Linked DNA regions of Elephas maximus indicus. The main gene of each other region encodes a partner of the protein of the gene in region 2 in a complex. Links are inferred from orthologs where the notes say so. Each region holds a gene or a part of one and is shown on either strand. Other genes may lie near its edges.

Region 1 (2,845 bases), on a different chromosome or scaffold from region 2:
CTACTCAGGTCACATCTCTAATCCAATGTAACACGAGTTCCTCTGGGGTATGGCCTGTACCACCTTTTACCTTACAAGAGATAAAACAAACAGAAGCAAGCAGAGTTGAGGGCCTCATACCACCAAGAAAGCAGTGCTGGGAGCAGAGGGTGTCCTTTGGACCAGGGGTTTCTGTGGGGAGAAGCTCCTAGGCAGGGGAAGACTGATGACAAGGAGCTGGAGCTGACGAGCTGAATTTGGATTTCTAATTTGGATTTCTAGTCGGAATCAACTCAATGGCAACAGGTAGGTAGCCTACTAGACCGTGAGAAAGTAAAATTTCTCTTTGCTAAAGCCATCCACTTGTGGTATTTGTTACAGCATGTCCAAAGTACATGTCTCTCAACATAGCCTACATTTTAAAATTTGGAACATTTTTACAATTTTTCTCCCTTTATACCACTCTTGTGACAAAAAGCACTACCCACCCCCCCCCCCCCCCCGCAAAAAAAACCAAACGCACTGCCTTCGAGTGGATTCCGACTCATAGCAACCCTGTAAGTCAGAATCGACTTGGGAAAGTGTGGACATCTTATTTTATTATTATTAATGTAAGCATGTGATGCCAAAGAAATGAAGATAATTTTACAAACTAAGATTTTTTCTAAGTATGTGAAATTTCCATTTTATTGTAAGGTTTTATATCACACCAGTTCAAAGGCATTTCTTTAGAACTCTTCTAGCACAGCTTCTCTGGAATTGTTTCAATCGTTCCTAGCATGTGACTTGACTAAACAGCTTAAATCTAAATAACCAAACAACATTTCAAATGACTAACTTTTTAGACGAGTAGGATAAAGTATAAAGTTATCAGCTGATGGATGAGGCTATTAATTTCCAAGACACTTGTCAAAATGTTTCTTCTGATATAGTAGTAGTTGTTATAAATCAGAACTTTGAAAAAATAAGGGCAGAACAAGAGTATAATAAAAGAAGCTCCTGCAGCTTAAGCCTCCCATAGTCCTAAGCTTCTGACAGAAGCAAGGCAAAGTACCTTTCCTGCAAACTAAACGGGATTCCAGTATTTCAATCTGGTTGAACTTTCAGAGAAAGGCCCAAGACCATCTTGGATCTGGCTGTATTAATTATGCCTGAAGAGTTTAATACCCATCCAAGTCCAAAGGTGGAAGAACACATAAACCGGTATGGTAATCGGCAAGAGCAGACTATAAAAGCAGAGGCTGGCTGTGCTAGTGCAGCCCTGAGGGAAGTTTTCTTCCACAGAGGCTGAGTAGAACAGTCCTGCTAAAGAAACCAGCGGAATAAGGACAGTCAACGTAGGAAGAGACAGAAACATTCTTCTTCCACACTTATTACCCGCCACTCTGACTTTTTAAAAGATAAATGATATTAAGAGAATTCAGTTTTCTTTTTTTTAAAAAAATTATGGTTTAGTGCTGCTCCATTTCTTCTTTCTTCTTATTTTGATGTGTCATCCTAGCTGCCTGTGGTATCATATTAGGAATGCCATCGATGACTGGATATGCTATTCCCAACTCTTCATTAATCAATTCATTTGTCGATGCTTCGTATCTAGGAAAAAAGAAAAGAATCACAAAGCGAATTTTGTAAAACAAAATTCTTGGAAGACCTTGATATTCAATAAATAATACTATTTGTCCAATTCTCGACAGAGTTAACACTGAACTGTATTCTTTAATTCTAAAAGCAGCAATAGCCAATATTACCATTTCTCTTATAAAATCTGTAATTGTTCCCATTTTAATCAATTTCTCTCAAATTCTCTTTTTACTGTATTCCCAAGTCATGCCTTAGTTAAAAGTTTTCTCTCATACTGCTCAGAAAATATTTCCTCTTTTCATCCAGACATCCCTTCATTCCTCTGGCTAACCCCAAAACCATCCCAATCCATTTACTACTGGAACAGAAACTAGAGAAAAATTCAATTTCCTGATTTAAGAATAAATGCTCAGTAAAGTATCCTAACTGATCCACTAGATGGAAATCGCTGAAAAATCAAAATACACAAAAGTTTGAGAACGATGGGAGGGCAGAAATGAGGAAACTTTGGAAACAAGTCTAAAGTGAGCGAGTTACACAATTAGCTAAAAGACAGACCCAACAATAATTTAAAGGTTTAAAAAAAATTGAATGACCGTTATGTTAATTATAGGGCACACTAGTAAAAGAGAAATGCAAAAAGATGAAAATAAAAATTACCGGCAATCTAGCACCCAAGTATAATCACTGTTAACATTTTGGTGTTTAGTTTATGCAATTTGTAACACTACCGTTGTCAATGTTCAGTTTTAATAGCTGGAACTGTACAGCCGCTTTAGCAAAGACTATGTTAAAGGTTAAGAGAGCATTTGCAATAACCAGTTAGTTCAGAGTGAAGAGCCAAAGGGCAGCAAACAAAGCTCAAATTTTTAAAATACCGTTAGGCAGTAGCTGTACACGGCCATTTCACAAAAATAAGCTACTAGCATATTTTTCATCACCGTGGGTTTAAAACCTGAACGCTTCACGAATCATCCATGGTCCTTTTCAGAAAAACAAACGTCCAGGCCCCGCCCCCAGGCATTCCGACCCGGTCCGCTCGTGTCGGTACCCAGACAACGTCCCCCACCCCCCGCAAATGCACCCTGGTGATTCCTTAGAGCACCTATCAACGCTCCGATGCATTCCGGCGGGCCGGCGGCTAATTTGGGAGGCCTGGGGCTCGGCTCGCCTCAAGTCTCCTTTCGCCCTTCAGGTCGCAGGAGAAGCTGCGTGGGCGCTCAGCAGGGCCTGGGCCCACAAAATGGCCGCCGAGACCACATATGAACCTGAAAAGCTGCCCAAA
Region 2 (3,754 bases):
GCTGCAGGCGAATGAGGTAGAAAGGGCAGAGACACGAGATGGAAACAAGCAGAAGGGCAAAGAGTATGGCTCCCACACCACTGATGGATAACAGGCCTCCCAAGGATGCAAACGCGAAAAGCAGTGTGACCCCCACGTAGCTGCGAGGGGTACATGCCTTCAGTTTCTTCTGCAACATGGGCCACAGGGCAAAAATCTGGATGGCAAATGTCACCATGATGAAGGCATGCAGGGACCGGGGCAGGCGTGAGGCCAGGCAGACAGAGGCAAAGATGGCCATGTTCAAGGACAGTGTGCTGGATACGATGGCTGCATTGGCACCATAGTCGAAGAAGATGAGGTGGCCTAACAGCATGAAGACTGACATGGCATAGATGGTGTCAGTGCTGACAGACTCTGTCAGGGTCTTCAGCACTGGTGAAAAACCATATGTAAAAGTAATGAAAACTAGTGCACTCTTCAGGTCTGCCCACCGAGTCCGCCCACTTTTCTTCCGCCCTTCACCTCCATCAATGAGATCAAACAAAACATAGCCAATCAATGAAGAAGCCAGGCCAGTCCCAAAAAGCCAGTGAGGGGCCAGAAGACCTTCGTCCATATACCACCAGATAACCACAAAAACACACACACTGCACAGCTGCTGTATCACCACACTGGACTCAAACACCACAGCCCAATATTGGTATTTCCGGGCATAGATGTTTTTCCGGAAATCTTCCAAGAACCGTGGATCCACGTAGTTATCGGGAAACGGCTGTCGCTCATACAAGACCTTCTGCCACCTGGCCTCCTTGGTGTTAGTTACTGGCTGGTCACACATTATCCTTTCCCTCAAGCTCAGGCCAGGTCAGTCTCCCTCGCAGAAGTCCATGTAGTTCTGGTTCTTTATGAAGTTTTGAAATAAGAGTTCTCTGGAAATTCCATGCTGTGCTGTAGTTGATATTTTACAGACCTTCCCTTGCTTTCAAAGGCAGCAACCCAGGCTAGGCTTGAGCTTGTTCTCTGAGGCAGGACAATACAGCAACTTCCTAGAAAAAGAGAGACTATGAACCTACAAAAGCTGTGAAAGGTCAAGGATAGGACTGAGTTAAAAATCAAACCAACTCAACCCACTAAAAGTCTGAGCAGTAGTAGCCATTTCATAATTATGGACATTTAAACTGCATTTCACATTTTAAAATTATAATTCCTTGAACAATAATACTTACTACTGTTAGCTAGCATTTATTGAGTACCTGTATTTTTTACTATGTGCTAGGTGGCTTACGTACCATCTTTCATTTAATCTTCATAATCTTTCCAAGTTGTATTAGTTCCACTTTAACTAGGAAAACGACTGAGGTTCCAATTGCTTAGGTAACTTCAGCCCAAGGTAACACAGTGGTAAACTGGGGAGCCAGTGTTCAAACCCTAGTCTGATCCCAAAGCCTGGGCCTCACCTCCTGTCTCCCTCTAAGCCAGCTCCTCACTGCTGGTTCCCATACCAGAGTCCGTGGATGGGCTTCAGAGGGGCCGCTCTAAAGTCAACAGTAAACCGCACAATACGGAAAGGTATGAGCTCTGCGGTTTATTTACCCAAAACCAAGGGCTCAAAGGAACTAAAGATTCTTCAACCATTAACCGAGCTGAACATCCTTTGAAGAGCTACGGTCCGACTTAAAACCGCGAAACTCCTGTGAGGACGGAAAAAAAAATCACTCCTTTTCCACAACGGGAAAAAGTCAGAAACACCAGGGCCAATCCAGCAAACCCGCGAAGAAAATTCTTACTGCCCAACCTTTATTTCTTCCATGGAGACCACGATAGGCTTTGCTTCACAAGCCAGACACCCTGGGCGCCCCCGCACTGGAGCAGGGACCCCAGCCCGCAGCCACCCGCTGTGCGGCGCCGATGTGGGCAACGCCCGCCTTCAGGGTCGCGGCGGAGGCAGGGTGGCCCTGGGGGCGCCCTTCCCGCCCTCCCGGGCCTCCCCTGCCTGCCGCCGCCTCTCATCCAGCCTTGGGCCTACGGGGGATGGCAGAGGAGAAGGGGACCCGGAAACACTGACGTCCACTAGGAACCCACCTGCCCGCGGGCTCCCAGGGGTGCGCGGCCGGGAGAGGGCGGCCGCCCGCCTCCTTCCCCATCCGGGGCGCCGGGGTCGCGACGGCGAAGGAACACTTCCGGGTCCGCCACCTCCTCCGCGGCCAGAGCGTCCTTCTCCGCCCAGGGAGCGCCGCGAGGACGCTGCTGCCCCCTGCTGGTTGCTCGCCCTGCGCCTGGTCCCAAGCCGAACGCTGGGCACCTGGGAAAGCTAATCCCGACAGAAAGAGGTAGTGGGGTGTGGGGGGCCGGGCGAGGATAGGGGTGGACGCTGGCTGGGAGACGAGAGAGAATAATAATAATAATTAATAATAATAATATAAAATAATAATAATTCTTTTACTGAGCTCCTGTTATTAAGCCCGGTCCTCAGCTTGGGAATTCCACGCATCCGTGCGTTCTTTGGGCAGGTATTCACCGAGTACGGACAAGCGTCAAGCACTGTTCCCAAGTGCTCCTGATAAAGCAGTCAGTGGAACAGACAAAAAATCCCTGTACTCGTGGGGCTTGCTTTCTTCCACTTTGACCTTCAAAGTAATGAAATCGTGCTCCTTTCGTAGAGGGCAAAACTGAGGCTCAGAGATACTGTCATTTGTCCAAGACCACGCAGGTGGAGAGTGGATGGGCCGAGATTAACACCCAGTTCTCTCTAGTTTCAAACCTTGGTGCTTTCCTCTTTGGCTCCCGGAATGAGTGAGAGTGGAGGACCCTGTGGCTGAAAACATAGCCAGAGGCTTGACACGGGAGGTTGCTAATAGTCCTCCGTGCTCATGGAATATTAGAGGATGAATAAACAGATGAAAGCACTAAGAAGCAAAAAGATACAGTAGAACACAAGATATACTGGACACAAAAGTCAGCAGACCTGAGGCCACGTACTAGCTCTGTGACTCAGGGGAAGTTTTGATTTCCTCATCTGTTAAATGAAGACAACAGTGTTTGCTCTTGGCTACTTCATGGGATGGTTATAAAGGTCAAATATAAAACATGAAAATGTTTTGTAAAGTATTGACTGTAAAGCATGGCTGCTCTCAGATTAGTTTGATCATTGTAATAATGGCAGGGGCCAAGTGTGACAAATTCTACAAAATAACCTCTTTGCATTTCTCTTCAGGTTTCTGTTCCAAAATTTGACAAGATTCCTTGGCTTAGTGAGGCCAGCTTCACAAACAAGCCATTAGTGCTCAGCCTTCCCAAAAGGTAACAGCTCAGCCTCTGAGGGCAGCGGTTTCAAGAAAGGTCTCACAGAGGATGATTTCTTAATAAGGGGTGGAGAGTAGTTATCAGAAGGGCAAGCCTGAGCAGTTGAGAAACCCAAGTCAAGTGCACAAAAACCTGAAATAGCCTGTATTCCCCAGACAGAAGTGAGCACTGAGTACAGGCATGGCCTGGGGAGATACTGTCCGAAATAACTTCCCTCTCTACTGCCACATCTTAACTCTACCAGAGAATTTTGCCCCTGGATGCTACCTTTCTAGACACGCCCTGGCCTCCTTCTCCCTCTTCACCCCACCTTTTTTACTTTGCCTTAGTTTGTTTTGAAATTTTCAAATTTCAATCATCAAGAGCCTAGAGCCATGCAATTCCAGTCTTTATAGAGTAGCCACTCCCTAAATTTGACTTTGAGGCAATCTCTCCCAATGCCACCAGTCCCTCCTCTTCCAAACAAACT

The links.
Region 1: PIGC (region 2) and PIGY share a complex: the UniProt entries of both Homo sapiens proteins name them as parts of the glycosylphosphatidylinositol-N-acetylglucosaminyltransferase (GPI-GnT) complex. The link is inferred for Elephas maximus indicus from reciprocal best matches to the Homo sapiens genes PIGC and PIGY.

The regions. Positions count from the first base shown.
Region 1 is NC_064823.1:66,838,192-66,841,036, forward strand, and holds PIGY (phosphatidylinositol N-acetylglucosaminyltransferase subunit Y), read right to left. Parts: upstream 1,354-2,845; 5' UTR 1,337-1,353; coding exon 1,121-1,336; 3' UTR 580-1,120; downstream 1-579. Other genes in the region: PYURF (protein preY, mitochondrial), read right to left, coding at 1,431-1,572. UniProt on the Homo sapiens protein: Part of the glycosylphosphatidylinositol-N-acetylglucosaminyltransferase (GPI-GnT) complex that catalyzes the transfer of N-acetylglucosamine from UDP-N-acetylglucosamine to phosphatidylinositol and participates in the first step of GPI biosynthesis.
Region 2 is NC_064821.1:210,810,322-210,814,075, reverse strand, and holds the start of PIGC (phosphatidylinositol N-acetylglucosaminyltransferase subunit C), read right to left. Parts: upstream 2,353-3,754; 5' UTR 2,065-2,352; intron 2,028-2,064; exon of another isoform or gene 1,778-2,027; intron 1,029-1,777; 5' UTR 821-1,028; coding exon 1-820. UniProt on the Homo sapiens protein: Part of the glycosylphosphatidylinositol-N-acetylglucosaminyltransferase (GPI-GnT) complex that catalyzes the transfer of N-acetylglucosamine from UDP-N-acetylglucosamine to phosphatidylinositol and participates in the first step of GPI biosynthesis.